Callithrix jacchus: one gene and its partners. The protein of the gene in region 1 purifies or fractionates together with the protein of each later gene. This does not show direct contact. Links are inferred from orthologs where the notes say so. Each region holds a gene or a part of one and is shown on either strand. Other genes may lie near its edges.

What was found.
Region 2: the proteins of NEK7 (region 1) and NLRP3 purify together in Homo sapiens (affinity purification with western blotting; 9 studies listed by BioGRID and IntAct, with this or other methods). This does not show direct contact. The link is inferred for Callithrix jacchus from reciprocal best matches to the Homo sapiens genes NEK7 and NLRP3.
Region 3: the proteins of NEK7 (region 1) and ANKS6 purify together in Homo sapiens (affinity purification with mass spectrometry; 3 studies listed by BioGRID and IntAct, with this or other methods). This does not show direct contact. The link is inferred for Callithrix jacchus from reciprocal best matches to the Homo sapiens genes NEK7 and ANKS6.
Region 4: the proteins of NEK7 (region 1) and ANKS3 purify together in Homo sapiens (affinity purification with mass spectrometry; 3 studies listed by BioGRID and IntAct, with this or other methods). This does not show direct contact. The link is inferred for Callithrix jacchus from reciprocal best matches to the Homo sapiens genes NEK7 and ANKS3.

The regions. Positions count from the first base shown.
Region 1 is NC_133520.1:25,078,042-25,082,275, reverse strand, and holds the start of NEK7 (serine/threonine-protein kinase Nek7), read right to left. Parts: upstream 2,949-4,234; 5' UTR 2,677-2,948; intron 750-2,676; exon of another isoform or gene 649-749; intron 1-648. UniProt on the Homo sapiens protein: Protein kinase which plays an important role in mitotic cell cycle progression. Required for microtubule nucleation activity of the centrosome, robust mitotic spindle formation and cytokinesis.
Region 2 is NC_133520.1:38,247,563-38,251,252, reverse strand, and holds part of NLRP3 (NACHT, LRR and PYD domains-containing protein 3), read left to right. Parts: coding exon 1-951; intron 952-3,690. UniProt on the Homo sapiens protein: Sensor component of the NLRP3 inflammasome, which mediates inflammasome activation in response to defects in membrane integrity, leading to secretion of inflammatory cytokines IL1B and IL18 and pyroptosis.
Region 3 is NC_133502.1:146,909,137-146,912,826, reverse strand, and holds part of ANKS6 (ankyrin repeat and SAM domain-containing protein 6), read left to right. Parts: intron 1-322; coding exon 323-825; intron 826-3,690.
Region 4 is NC_133513.1:6,823,655-6,827,344, forward strand, and holds part of ANKS3 (ankyrin repeat and SAM domain-containing protein 3), read right to left. Parts: intron 2,825-3,690; coding exon 2,666-2,824; intron 835-2,665; coding exon 694-834; intron 185-693; coding exon 48-184; intron 1-47. UniProt on the Homo sapiens protein: May be involved in vasopressin signaling in the kidney.

The DNA of each region.
Region 1 (4,234 bases):
ATAAGTCAGAGCCCAAAACTATCAACTGCAAACTCCAGGAAGATTTGGGGATGGGTGGTTATGAGTTTAAGTACTTATTTACACAAACTGTAACTGCACTGGTCATTACAATACAATGCTGGTTTTTTGCTTATTAATCAGGTACGTTAGTTACGGGGGCATCAAATCTCCCCTCCTCCGCTAGGACGCTGCTATTATACCAGACATGCTTTTCCCATTCTTGGGGTAAGTGCTGTTTTACTGGGACGAAAATGAACTCTTGAAATTGTCTAGCCAGGAAAATATGGAAGGGGGAAAGGAATGCTGGGTGCTACATGTATTAGCTAAATAAATAAACCCAAATAGTTCAGGTTATAAAATGAGCCTGTATGCTTGAAAATAGTCTTGTTAAATTGGTAAGAGTTTTAACCATGGAAAGATTCCCCAAAAGTTGTAAAACAGCTAACGATCTAGATTCTGACATTTCTTGGTTTTCATTTTCTTATAATTTCAGAGTAAACCCCCGTCAGTCACATGGACTACATTCAGTTTGCTGACCAATTTCACTTATCTACTATAAACTTTCAGTAGAAGTAGTTAAGTTCGAGGTACAGCTGAATCACGAAACAGGACACCTAGGACGGCTCAGGGGAAACCGAAGCCCGCTACCTTTTATTTATTTATTTCTCGACGCCGGACCTCAGCCTGGCATCCCTCCTGCAGACATCCCTGGAGAAACAACTTGCGCGTCCTTCTACGAGCCCAGGGCCGGAGTAGGAAGTACCCGCCCTCTCAAACGCGATGTCCTCGCCGCCCATTGGCTGCGAAGGCCGTCAGTGCTCCGGAGGGCGGAGACTCTCGCCACCCAGCGGAATCTCAGGCCCGCACCTCCGGGAGGGTACCGCAGGCTCCCGGGCTCCTTCCTCACCCTTAACACTAGCCAGGCACACGCACACACACCGGCCCCGAGAAGGCAACTAGCCTCCTCAAAGGGTTCCTCTGCCTTTATTTCTCAGGCCTTCCTCTCACCCCATGCAGTTTCTGCCCCTTTGACTCCTCCGAGGGGCAAAGCGTTTTCAAAGCTCCAACACCTCTCCCCCTACCCCAGCAAACTCCCGGTGCAAGACCCAACAGAGGATGCCGCGGTTTTAGGAGGGAAGCGAGCTGTGGACTGGATCTCGCCAAGGGAGACAGGCTTACTTTCTCTGGAAATAACTGCTGAGATTTTAAGTTAACTGTTTCAAGAGCACTTGGCCATCGCCACGTGTTACAAATCAAAAATAGCGGCCATTGAACAAGACTTGCCACAAAGCATGGGTTAATTGTATGTGTCGTTTAACTGTTCGCCATTTGCAAGGTTTGACCGATTGTCCTAAGCATACTGTAGTTTTTTAGTGCAAGTACTGTGTCATTCTTCGACCACATCAGCAGCACCTCAAGGTCCTTAACAGAACATATTTATAACACACATGCTCTGTACTTTATTCTCTAATGCAACCTGACCAGACATACTGCTGTCGCTTGGAGGGAGTGTGCATACTCCTGAAACTGTAATTCCTTGGAGGAGGAATTAAAAATAGTAGTTCCAATTATGATAGGTACATAAGGCCCTACAAACAACGGAAATTTGATGTTTTCAACCGCATCCTTGAGCTCAGTAACCTCAAAGGAGAAAAAATAATTTTATTTCAGATTTTCAGTTCAGTCACCAGAATTGCGCAAGGATGGCAGCATGTATCTTACTGTAAACTAAGTATATTTTTAGTATTTCTCCCCAATGAGGACTACAGCTATGCGAGAACACGATTCATTGGTTGATGCATCATCTCTACCACCCCACTACGCTCCAAGTGCAAGACTAAATAGCGGATGCTGCGGTTTTAAGAGTGAAGGCCTACAGCGCAAAGGAGGCAAGGAAGTTCTTTAGCTCTCAAGGTAGCATCCTCTAGGTTGTGTTCGCGTCTTTGCACTGTTCTGCGGTCATACGGTCATGTCACTTTTCTCCGTCTTCATCTGGCTCCCCTTCTCTGACTGTGGCCTCAGTTTTCAATTTCTTTTCCACTGCCACCATCACCGGCAATGTTCGCTATTGCCTCTCGATCCCTCTGGCCGACATTTTGTCATCTCCAGCCCCTCCCAAGTTCATTCTCCAACAGACCTCTCACGCTCCCTGTACTTCTCAGGCCACTTCGGAATCTCCCGTCTGCTGGCTCCCACCACCCACTCTCTCCAGCGCACTTCACTTTCCTAGGTCGGGCTGCGACCGAATCCTGACAGACGGACCTCGCCAATCCGCGAGGGATAAATAACCGACGTCGCCAATGAGCATCCGCCGGGAGGCGGGACTTCGCTTAAGTTCCTCCGGTCCAGAAACCAAAGACCTGTTGCAGCCGCCGCGGCGCTGGCCGCGGAGTTTCTTAGTTACCGCGGCGCCCTTGGCGGCCTCGGCCCGCCAGAGTCGGTGCCAGGTATGAAGTTTCCCGCCGCCGCCGCCTCCCACCAATGCGGACGAATAGGACCGAAAACCCCGGACGACTGAAGCGCGGCGCGCCCCGCCCCACCTACCCCGAGCAAGGGGATCCCGGAGGCCGCCCCGCGCGGTGCCGACCTCCCACTCCCCCGGCCCGACTCCCGCAGGCCGCCCCACCCGGCAGGAGCTACCCAGGCCGGGCGCCTGAGCCCTGAGCAGCGACTCACCAGGAAGTTAGGAGTTTTCCGTTCTCCCGCTCGCGAGGGACCTTGGGCAGACGGGGTGGCTCGGCCCGGCGCCGCCGTCGGAAACCGCGCTGGGCCGGGAGCTGTGGCTGCGAGGCCCGGAAGCTATCAGCCACCTCCTGCCGCGCCGTCCCCGCGGACACTGCAGGCGCGGGCACCCACCCTGCGCACTCCGAGGCGCGTCCCGAGTGCGAGCCTAGTGGCGGCCCATCCTCCCGCGGCTCCTGCTCCTCCTCCTGCGGCCGCGGCTGTCTGGAGTGTAAACATCCCGGCATCCCCGAGGAGAGGGGCGGGGCGGGCGCCGGCCACTCCCCGCTCCGCGGGGTCCCGGCCGGCTGTCCGGCGGAGGCTTCCCGTCTGCGTCCTCCCGCGAGCCCGGCAGTTGGGAGAGCCTCGGCGGCTTGCCTACTAGAGCCGAGGCCGCTCTGGAAGAACTCCTCCTGGCCGGTCTCTTGCCGCTGTCAGGGCTAGCGGGGTGCGGGGCACGGCGTCCGGTCCTCTGAGCCCTCTTCCCAGCTTCAGGCCAGCTTCCCACCAAACCCGGGGTCGGCTGCTTTTTAAGAACTTGTTTTCTCTTCGTTTATATGTAAGCGTCCCCGCTAGCAAGCGGTGAACCGACTTGGTGACGTGCCCTTTCTTCTGGACCACAGCGTTTGTCATCCAGTCCTCTTTTACCAGGTGGTGTAAACTACCTCTGCGTTTAATGTGGAGTGCAGGGAAATGAGAAACAAGGCGTTTTCCTGAGTCTGACTAAGCCAGCGTTGCGTGAAAGTGTCCCAGCATAGAGGACAGTGGCTTTTACATTCCGAAAGGTAAACTACCTGGTGTGGTACCGAGGATCTTTGAAATAAATATGTGCAAAATCACCCAGAACCCTAGTACAGGAAACTGAAACTGCAGAAGGAATGTTTTGACACCAGCAGCTTCACTACTTCGGTAACAGGACATGAACTACTCGAGGAGACTGCTAGGAGGCAGTGGGGAGTCGGTCATATCTAAATTCTCATCTCAGCTCCGTGGTTAATTTTGTGACCTGACTGCAAGTTACTTAACCTCTCCAAGTCTCAGTAACTCTGTAAAGGGAGAATAGTCACACTACCAACGTCTAGGACCATAGTTGGAATTAAGTGAGATAAAACAAAGTGCTTAAGCCCAAAGCTTGGCATATTAGACGTGCTCATTAAATTATTGCTGTTTTTCATAGGTCTCTCAGTAGTTTAACTTTCCTGCCAAAACGATTCGAGCCAACAATGAGATTATAGCTCATTTAAAATGTTAAAGCCATGAAATTAAGATCCGGAAAGTCTATTTTTAGAAATTAAAACGGCTGGGCGCGGTGGCTCACAGCTGTAATCCTAGCACTTTGGGAGGCCGAAGTGGGGGGAGGGGTGGATCACCTGAGGTTAGGAGTTTGAGACCAGCTGGCCAACATGGCAAAACGCTGTCTCTACTAAAAATACAAAAACTAGCCGCGCGGGGTGGCAGGAGCGTATAATCCCAGCTACTGGGGAGGCTGAGATAGGAGAATTGCTTGAACCCA
Region 2 (3,690 bases), about 13 Mb from region 1:
CGAGGTCCTCTTCACCATGTGTTTCATTCCCCTCGTCTGCTGGATTGTGTGCACCGGCCTGAAGCAGCAGATGGAGAGTGGCAAGAGCCTGGCCCAGACATCCAAGACTACCACTGCGGTGTACATCTTCTTCCTCTCCAGTTTGCTGCAGCCCCGAGGAGGGAGCCAGGAGCATACCCTCTCTGCCCACCTCTGGGGGCTCTGCTCTTTGGCTGCAGATGGGATCTGGAACCAGAAAATCCTCTTTGAGGAGTCTGACCTCAGGAATCACGGCCTGCAGAAGGCGGAGGTGTCTGCTTTCCTGAGGATGAACCTGTTCCAAAAGGAAGTGGACTGCGAGAAGCTCTACAGCTTCATCCACATGACCTTCCAGGAGTTCTTTGCTGCCATGTACTACCTGCTGGAAGAGGAAAAGGAAGGAGGGATGCAGAATGTTCCAGGGAGTTGCTTGACGCTTCCCAGCCGGGACGTGACAGTCCTTCTGGAAAACTACGGCAAATTCGAGAAGGGGTATTTGATTTTCGTTGTGCGTTTCCTCTTCGGCCTGGTGAACCAGGAGAGGACCTCCTACTTGGAGAAGAAATTAAGTTGCAAGGTCTCTCAGCAGATCAGGCTGGAGCTGCTGAAATGGATTGAGGTGAAGGCCAAGGCAAAGAAGCTGCAGATCCAGCCCAGCCAGCTGGAATTGTTCTACTGTTTGTACGAGATGCAGGAGGAGGACTTTGTGCAGAGGGCCATGGACCATTTCCCCAAGATTGAGATCAATCTCTCCACCAGAATGGACCACGTGGTTTCTTCCTTTTGCATTGAGAACTGTCATCGGGTGGAGTCCCTTTCCCTGGGGTTTCTCCACAACATGCCCAAGGAGGAGGAGGAAGAGGAGAAGGAAGGCCGACACCTCGACGTGGCCCAGTGTGTACCCCCAGGCTCTCTCACTGCCTGTTCCCTCGGGTAAGCAGGCTCGGCTCCAGCAGGCGGCAGAGCGTGCCCTCTGCCCCCTCTCCAGCTTTTGCTTGGCACCTGCCTCCTCTGGTGTCTTTTCATCTATCTTCCAAATTTAGTTGCCACAGCTGTGTAATGATGCCGCCACCACCCATTTCACACCCCTTCATGGGCAAAGGTTGACTTGTGGTAGGTGGATAAATGGGGTGAGCAAAGAAACAATGAAATAAGGAACAAATGTTTTGGGAATGCTAGTTTAGCACAAGGGATGAGGGAGGTTGGAGGACTGCCTACAAAGGCTTGCCAAAAGAAACTGCTCGTCAGCTATTTGGAGCGCTAGTGCCTCATGGTCAGTCAATGTCTCTGGGGCAGGGCAATGCCAGACTCCGTCCCAGGAGCCCAGGGGACAGAAGGCCCTTAGAGCTGGAGGCTGGGGGAGGTTTCTTAGAAAAGCGCAATTTAAACTTGGCTTTAAGGGATGCTGGGACATGTGTGCGGGGAGAAGAAAGTAAAGGGATCCAGGCATTGAAGACCCACACAAGCAAGTCGGGAATGCAGTCTGAGAAGCATGTGCAGGTGGCAGTGGAGAGAGACTCGGTTTCCTTGGGAAAAATACGATAGCGATGAATCAAGGGAAACAGAGCAGAAAAGCTGAAACGCTCCTTCCAGGCCCCCATGTTGCTTTGCCCTGGGCTGTCGCCAGAAGTGTCTGCTCTAGGGTGTGCTCATGACTTGCTGGGCGGTTGGAAGCCAGTTGCCGAGTCTGTGCAGTGAAGCAGTTGAGTCAACTGACTTCTGTGTCCCTTCTGGGTTTCTTGTTCAGTGGCTCCTAAGAAGGACAGTGGTTGTAGGAAGGCGGGCACCCTGTGATGTGAGTTTAATCCGTAGAGAAGACAAACAGGAGGCTAGGCCCTTCCACTGGCAGCGGTGAGCTTCAGCTTCCTCTAGCCCTGACTCTGCCCGGCCAGGACACCTTCCTGGTCCTCATTTGGCCCAGAAGGACCAACTGCTCGCAGGGCTGCAGTGGAGGCTGAGACCCAGGTCCCTTTCATAGGGCTTGAGGTCCGTCATGGGACAGTCAGGAAACAGGTGTGGGTGTGTGTGCGTGTGCGCATGTGTGCACATGTATGTGTGTGCATGTGCACGTGTTTGCGTGCGTGTGTTTGCGCACGTGTGCACGTGCGTGCACGTGTATGTGTGCACGTGTGCGTGTGTGTTCATGCGCGCGTGTGCGTGTATGTGTGGGTGCATGCGCGTGTGTGTCACGGGCTCTGACAAGGAACTTGCAGAGTACCCAAAGCACAAGGGGATGAACCTGTTCACTTCTGCGGCGTGGGTGTCCCCCTCCGCCAGCTTCCAGAGGATGGGCGGAGTGACAGAGTGAGAGAAGGCCAGGGGCAGCCCAGGCTGGGGGTACAGAGTATTCAGAGGGGGCAGGCGTGGGAAAGCAGGGCCAGCAGTTCCGAGTGACTGGAAGAAGACAGATGTCTCCATCTGTCAGGCTGCCATAGCCAAATGCTGTAGACTGCTTGGCTCACAAAAAAAAGCAATGATCACCGTACAGTTCTGGAGGCGGGAGGCCCGTGGACGAGCACCGGCAGATGTGTTTGGTGAGACCTCATCAACATCACACACCGGTGAGGAAGCAGGGTAGGAGGCTCAGCACCCGTCCCTCTAGAAGGCAGCCCCACAGGGGAGAGGGGAGGGACACTGAGGGGCGGCCGCAGATGGCACTTTCTTGCTGCGTCCTCACAGGTGGAGGGTGAGGCAGCTCTCTGGGGTCCCTTTTGTCAGGGCAGCGATCCCACCGCGAGGGCTCCACCCTCATAACTTCATCACATCTCAAAGGCCCCAGCTCCTCATACGTCACGTTGAGGGTTGGGGTTTCAGCATATGGATTTGGGGCACACAAACATTCAGACCACAGAAACGGGAGAAGAGGAATAAGAGAAAAGCAGGCAGACCTACTTATTAGAAGTGAGGTGGAGGGTCAGGGAGGCCATGTCCGGGTCACACACCCGTGAAGAAGGCTCGCAGACTCGCACTGCTGCCCTGGCGGGGGCTCAGCACCCGTCCCTGTAGATGGCAGCTGCTGGCCAGGCGGGGTGGCTCATGCCTCTAATCCCAGCACTTTGGGAGTCTGACCGGGGCGGACCAGCCAGGCCAACATGGTGAAACCCCGTCTCTACTAAAAATACAAAAATTAGCTGGCTGTGGTGGCAAGCACCTGTAGTCCCAGCTACTTGGGAAGCTGAGGCGGGAGAACTATTGAACCCGGGAGGCGGAGGTTTCAGTGAGCTAAGATCACGCCACTGCGCTCCAGCCTGATGACAGAGTGAGACTTGTCTCAAAAAAAAAAAAAAATGTAGATGGCAGCTGCCTACCTCTGAGGACAGATTCTGACTGGAGCCCTGGTAGGGGCTCAGCACCCGTCCCTCTAGATGGCAGCTGCCTTCTCCCTCTGATGGCAGGAACTTGCTGTGTCTCAGCACTTTCTGAGAACCAGAAGCCTGGGCATCTGTTAGAAACGCAAAATTGTAGACCCAGTTGTAGACCCGGGGAGGAAGACTTTGCATCTGGATGAGAGCTACAGGTGATTCAAAGGTAACTGCATGTGTGCTGCAGTGGCTCATGCCTGTCACCCTAAGTTTTTGGCAAGCCAAGACAGGGGGATTGCTTGAAGCCGGGAGTTCAAGTCCTGCCTGAGCTGCAAAGTGAGAGCCCTTCTCTACGGAAAAACAAAAGCAA
Region 3 (3,690 bases), on another chromosome or scaffold:
AATCCCCAGCAACCCTTGAAGTAGGTACAGTTATAGCCCCATTTTACAGATCAGGAAATGAAGGCACAGAGAAACTTAAGTTCTTCCTGAAGGTCATATAGCTAGTGGTGGGGAGAGCTGGCTTTGAACCCAGGCAGGGCAGCTGCTCACCTTAATGATGGTACACCTGCATCTGTGGGGCTGGAACAGTGCCTGGCACAAGAATAAGACCTCTTATTATGAGAAGCTGTCAGGACTAATACTTCATGACAAATAGGGACTACATAAGCTGTCTCCTGATTGCTCTGCGTTTAGTGTCACTCATTCTCCATCTTCCTGGCAGATTCGGGCATGTGAGTGTGGCACACCTCCTGTTGGATCATGGAGCTGATGTCAATGCCCAGAACCGGCTCGGGGCCAGTGTGCTCACTGTGGCCTCTCGGGGTGGCCACCTGGGTGTGGTGAAGCTGCTCCTGGAAGCTGGTGCCTTTGTGGACCATCACCACCCCTCAGGCGAGCAGCCGGGGTTGGGCAGCATCAGGGATGAGCCCCTGGACATCACAGCCCTGATGGCCGCCATCCAGCATGGGCATGAGGCTGTGGTGCGTCTACTGATGGAGTGGGGCGCAGACCCCAACCACGCAGCCCGGACGGTGAGCTGGAGCCCGCTGATGCTGGCTGCACTCACTGGGCGACTTGGAGTGGCCCAGCAGCTGGTGGAGAAGGGCGCCAACCCTGACCACCTCAGTGTGCTGGAGAAGACTGCCTTCGAGGTTGCGCTGGACTGCAAGCACAGGGACCTTGTAGACTACCTGGACCCGCTGACCACCGTAAGGCCCAAAACAGGTCAGGCTGCATGCCCCCTGGGACTTTACAGAGGACCCCAAATTGTGCTTATGTGGCTTACGCTGAGGATTGCTCTACTGGAAGTACACACAGAAATCAGAGTCCAGCCCTGTAGACTAGTGAGACTGAGGAAGTGATGTGCTTAAGTATGGAGGAGATTGCCTGTGACATGCAGGTTCCAGCCCAGTCTCTGGAGAGTCTGATTTTAGTAACCTTGAGCAAGAGCCTGGAAGCTTCTATAGCAAGGCCATTCTCCCCAACCACATCATTCTGATGCAGGTGGTTCTGGGGTCCCTGAACAAGGTTTGGCAAACTTTTTCTGTAGAAGGCCAAATAGGCTATATGGGCCATACAGTCTCTGTTAAAACTACAGTGGTCAATTCTGCTAGTGTGAAAGCAGCCTTACGTAAGTAATGAGTAAATGAGTAGATGTGGCTATACTTGCAATATGTAAATGAGTTGGGTTTGGCTAGGTTCCAATAAATTATTACAAAAACAGGCAGTGGGGCATATTTGAGCCATGGGCTATAGTTTGCCAGCCCTTGCTCTACAATAGTGTGCCTGACGTCCTCTGCCCTGACCATTCCCCAAACACTAATTCATGTAAAATTGGTGAAAATTAGTTTTTTAAAAAAGATCTAGCTGTGCATTTTTTTTTTCCTTCTTGCCATCTCCCTGGCATGTAAAAAGTTGTCTGAACAATCCTGAGCAAATCTGCCACATGACATACCGCGTTTCAAAACCTCTAATGCACCATTTGCAGTAAGATCCCAGGGCATAACAGCAGGTGGGCAGCAGTGTATATAAGCATCTAGAAATGAGAGGTAAAAAACTGAAGAAAGTTATCTTCAGGTACATTGGCTAAAAAGACTTGAAAGTGTTAAGTTTGTTACCATTGAAAGAATATACAATAGCCCCATCAATCAAGAGATGCTGAAAATTTGGTAAGTGCTTATTAGAAATATACCATCCAAAAAAAATAAATAAATATACCATTCAATCAGAACAAGTCTGAAATAAATATATTTTAAAAGTCTGTAATGACAGAGAGGTGGCAATAATGAAGAGGACACTCAAATGAAAAGCAAAAAGTAGTGAAGGTTAGGAAGACCTATCTGAAGCCAAGAGACCTCTTACTTTGTCCAGGTGGGAAACTGAGGCCCAGAGAGGGAGGAAAGCTGGTCAAAAGTCACACACCCATTGGAAGCTAAGTGAGTGACTCTCAGAAGGTGAGGATTCCATGGGAAGAGCACCTTGAGGTGACTTTGCCCACCTGCAGCTCCTGCAGGGGCTCTAGAAGCTGATTTTTCACATGCCTCTCCTAAGCTTTTGCTTCATCTGTGAAATGGACACAATGACAGCAACTACTGCAGGTGGTGGTGAGCAGAAGGCTGGTTATCCGGTTCACCTTTGACGTGTGAGACACTCAGCCTGGTAGAGTGTTAGGGCCTCATAAAGGCTTGCAATTAGAAATTAGGGACCCAGTCTTCCAGGACAGGGTTTTTGTTTTGTTTTGTTTTTTTCTGACATAAGGCCATTGCTCTTTAAAGATTTGGGTTATTTGTGGCGGGGGTGGGGAAGGGATCTGTCTTTCCCAGGCCCTGCCGTGCCCAGCGTACCTGCTGTGCTGAATCTCCCCTCACCTTCACAGGGACCCTCTGAGGAGGGTGTTCTCCCATTTTGCAGCAGAGGGAACTCAGGCTTAGAAGTGGGCACTCCTTAACTTGCACCCGCCTGTGCCTACCGAGCTGTGCCTCGTCTGCTGTGTGTGTGTTCTCCTTCCCAGGTTTCCTCAGCCTCTGCATCTTGAATCTTCATGGAGTGCCCTCGGGCTGCTTCTGACAGGCCTCATTTTAGGATTGTCTTGCATTGTGGGATGGTGATGTCCTCATTTCCCCAAGATACAAAGGCTCAGACACATTGGTGGATGTGGCCAAGGTCACCATCTACTTGGTTCAACCTTGGCTGTGCCACTGCTGGCCAAGGGACCTTGAACTGATTGTCTGAGTTCAGCAAGCTCCCCTTTCCTTTTCCACAAATGGGTGGTAGGACTGACACCACCTCAGGACTGCTGTGGGGCATCATGTGAGATCCTTCCTGGCCCTGAGGGAGCACATCACAAATGGCATTACTCCATACTGTTGTTGGCATATTTGATGGGAGCAAACCTTGGGTCTTCCAGCAGGATTGGGTCATGTTCCCGTCAAGCAGACCCAGTCTGAGGCTCAGTTCTCCCTCTCTGTACCAAAGTGGTCTTGGTCATGTATAATTGGCCCTGCAGGACTTCAATGCCTTTTTTTGTAAAACAGTCATAATAAAGTCACTTTTCTTGGGAGGTTTTGTGAGGAATAGTAAGATCATGCCTATAAAATTTTTGTCATAGTGCCCTAGCACATAGACAACATCCAGTAAATGGAAGCTGCCATGTTTTGATTGATCATACATTCATTCTGATACTTTCCAAAGATGTACTGAGGCCTGCTATGTACCAAGCACCTTTCTAAGCACTTTGGATACATCAATGAACAAATGAGACCCAAATCCCTGCCACTGAGTACTATGGCCTCCATAAGGGGAGACAGGCAGTAAAGAGGAAATAAACATATTAAATATATAGTAGGATAGGTGGTAAGTGCCATAGGCTTAAAAAAAACAACAAGGGCAATGTAAAGAGGTTGGCTGTGGCAGAGCTGGGACAATGCAGTCTGCTCTGTGAAATGGAGTGGTTGGGCAACCTTGAGAAGGCGAGGCTGTAGCAGACATGCGGGAGCTGAGGGAGTACAGTGGCCCTGGGGGAATCCCTGGGAAGAGCCTCAGGTAGGGTGCAGACTGTGCTATTGATAATGACAGATGATAAAATAATAG
Region 4 (3,690 bases), on another chromosome or scaffold:
ACAATGCCAGGGACCGGCTATGGGGGACCAAGAAAGAAAGTCCACACCTCATTGCTCTCCACAGAAGCTTCGCTGCTGAGCCCCTGGGCTCTGGCCAGGCCCTCGCTGCTGCTGCTGCTCCTGACAGGCCCCAGGTTGGCACAGAAAGCATGTCCCTCTGAGGGCGGGAAGACAGGGTGTCCGCCTGCAGGATTCACCAAGGTACTGTGCATGGGCTGCCCTGGGTCCAGGGCATTCCTTGGCGCCTGCAGCGGTTGATTCCTTTTGTTTCAGGCTGCCTGCCTGTGCTAAACCCTCCCCTCTATACACACTGGCAGGGCTTCTGTCTTTTTGTTCACTGCTAATCTCAAGCACCCGGAGCAATGCTTGGCCCAAGGTGGGCACTCTGTTAACAGCTGCTGCACAGAGCTGTGATTCTAACAGATATTCCTAGTGGAGTGTGTCCTGAAAGCCTCGGTGGGCTCCCAAGCAAGGGCTCAACCTGTTGGTGTGGAATGGCTCCCCTAAGCTGCACGGGGCTGCTGGACCAGAAGCTTCTCCCTTTCCTCACAAGAACCAGGGCCATCCACATCTGGCCCTTTCTTGTCCTCTGCTGGATGGCTATGCCCCAGCGCCAGGCCAGGGGTAAGATGGGCACACAAGAGCTCCAGGACCTGCCTGAGCCGCAGGCTGAACAGGGTGGGGCACACGTACCCCGACTGCTGCTGCTGCTGCTGCTTTCTATGTCCTGCTCGTTGATGGGGGAGGTGACATCCCGGCAGCAGAGGCCCTCTTCTTCCAGGGGGTTCTCACCACTGCTGTTGAAGGTGACATAGCCGCGGAGAGGCACCTGCTCTGTGTACAGAATGGGGGCCATAAACCCAGGGAACTCCAAAGTGAAGTTGCTTCTGGTTCCAGATGCCCCTACATTTCCCAGACTGGTCTCAAAACTCCTGGGCCCAAGCAGTCCTCCTGCCTCAGCCTCCCAAAGTGCTGGGATTACAGGCATGAACCACTGTACCTGGCCCCCAATTTTTTTTTGAGACAGAGTCTCCCGCTGTTGCCAGGCTGGAGTACAGTAACAAGATCTCAGCTCACTGCAACCTCCACCTCCCGGGTTCAAATGGTTCTTCAGCCTCAGCCTCCTGTGTAGCTGGGATTACAGGCACGCGCCACCACGCCCAACTAAGTTTTGTATTTTATAGTAGAGACGGAGTCTCACCGTGTTGGCCAGGATGGTCTCAATCTCTTGACCTTGTGATTCACCCACCTCGGCCTCCCAAAGTGCTGGGATTACAGGCCTGAGCCACTGTGCCCATCCCCCAATTTTTTAAAATTACTGGCAAAGAGAATATATGCACTTATGGAAAATTTAAATTTCATAAGGTATGAGAGGAAAAAACAAAAATCCCCTGAAATGCCACACCTGAGACCACTACCATCATCACTGCTCTGTGGATACCTAAAAACTGCCCACAAACAGCTTCAGACATGTATCGTTTTGATAAAGCATCTGTCATATGGCCATATAGATTAATTACCACCCCAGCCCCAGGATCAAACCCCTCCTTCCTCCCCCCACCACACCTCAGGCTGCAGCAGGTGCCTGAGATCCTTAAGAAAGAGACTGCTGCTCAGAATGACCAGCCCAGTGTCCCAGAGCCAGTGCTCACAGCTCAGTGGCTGGAACACAGGTGGGCCCTCTTGCTGTGGTGGGAGGTGGCCAGCAACTGGAGAGAGGCCTTCCCAGTGACCCAGTTAACCGCCCCTCCCAGGACAATGGGAGAAGGTGGGTCCCCAGTTCCCAACCCAGCACCCAGGCTTGGGAAGACAGAAGTCTGCACCTCTGCTTCTTCTTGGAGTCTTAGAAGGGAATCCAGTAATTCATGTACCCTTGGCTAAAACTATTCTCACTAGGAAAGTCAGACTATTCCAAGTACTGGCCTCAAAGAGGCCTTGCTCCTGTGAGGGACCAGCCACCAGGCCTGTGAGACCAGCACCCTTGGCCTGGCCATGGGTGGGTGACAGCCATCAAAAGAAGACACAACTCAAAGCTGAGTCTGAGCTCAGCAAGAGAGAGTGGGTACCAAATCCAACTCAGCTAAAAACAACCCCCAGCACTCCCAAGAGCAAAATGCTCAGCACTGGGGCTGACAACCTGAGAATAAACTTGAGATCTGAAAACCTGACGGCTAGGATTCTTTACCACCAAGTGCACCCTCTCTCAGGAGGGTCTGAGCTCAGCTCCATTGCCCTGAGAAAACAGCTGGGCCTGTCTGCCCTTAGCCTCCTAACCCTGAGAGCGTACGCGACCCAGCTGGTATGGGTAAGGCAGGGAAGTGGATCGTCACACTGCATCCTCCCTGTATGAGCCGACCCACCTATGCGATTAATGAAATCTGACCTGAGCTACATTTCTGCTGCAGGACAGAGAGATTTATTCCTAAATTTAACCAATGAAAAGGAAAGTCAAGGAGGTCAAGCAAAAAAAACCAGAATGAGCTCATGACCAATGCATTTCCATCACTGGACTCAATCCTGATTCTCCCTGAGCATGAAAGCCTGGGCCACTTGTCCTGCTACCGCCTGAGGTCCAGGGACCCATGTTTCAGGAGCCTAAGAGCTATTCCATTCTTGCCAACACAGAATCTTGGTATGCAGTAACAGAGAGACGCGGGTCACTCACCATAGCGACACCGTGGGGCCCTGCCCCCGAGGCCAATGCCTGTGATCCTGGCCAGCGCTCTTGGCCCCTCGTGGATGCTGACACCCTTCTTCCGGCACGGCCTCTGTCTCTGAGGAGCAGGGCAGGACTCATCAGAAGAACTCAGATCTTCGTATTTTTCTGTAGGTCCAACACCAAGATTAAGACAGTCTGTTCAGTGATGGACTAATTTACTAATGCTTAGATTAAACTGAAAGAAAGTAACTATCACAGGTTTTGTTAAATTAAGGAGAGGGTATCTGCCAGGACATCACTTTTGGGAAATGCCCACATAGGCCGGGGTGCTGCTCCAGTGGGCCACAGGGAGCTGCAAAGTTAGTGAGAACGGGGAGCTTAACTTTTTTTCTTGAGACAGTTTCATTCTGTCCTCCAGGATGAAGTGCAGTGGTGCGATCTCAGCTCACTGCAACCTCCGCCTCCTGGGTTCAAACAATTCTCATGCCTCAGCCTCCCAAGTAGCTGGGATTACAGGTGCACGCCACCATGCCCAGCTAATTTTTCTCCCTGTCTTTTTTTTTAGTAGAGATGGGCTTTTGCCATGTTGGCCAGGCTGGTCTCAAACTCCTACCTCAGGTGATCTGCCCCCCCCCCCCCCCCCCCCCCCGCCCCGGGCCTCCCAAAGTACCGGGATTACAGGCTTAAGCCACCGAGTCCGGTGAGGAGTTTCATTCTTACCTCTTTGTCAGGGTTTGCAAATTCATAAAAAGCCTGTATTGTTCACAATCAGAAGTAAGTTTTGACCTAAGTTGAAGGAATAACTAAAATTCATTTCTTCATTTAAAATATGATATCAGTCACAACTTTTTTTTCCAGTTCCCTTCCTTTGGAAACAACTTCTTAAGGAATTCTGTATTTTCTAAAGCATAGCATCTGTTTGCTATGATTTTTAACTCTTTCACATCACTACCTAGTCTGACCTTTCAGAGCTGAACCCAGAGCTTTTACTATTTTGTAGCTTTTCAGTTTTTCATATTTGATTCATATAA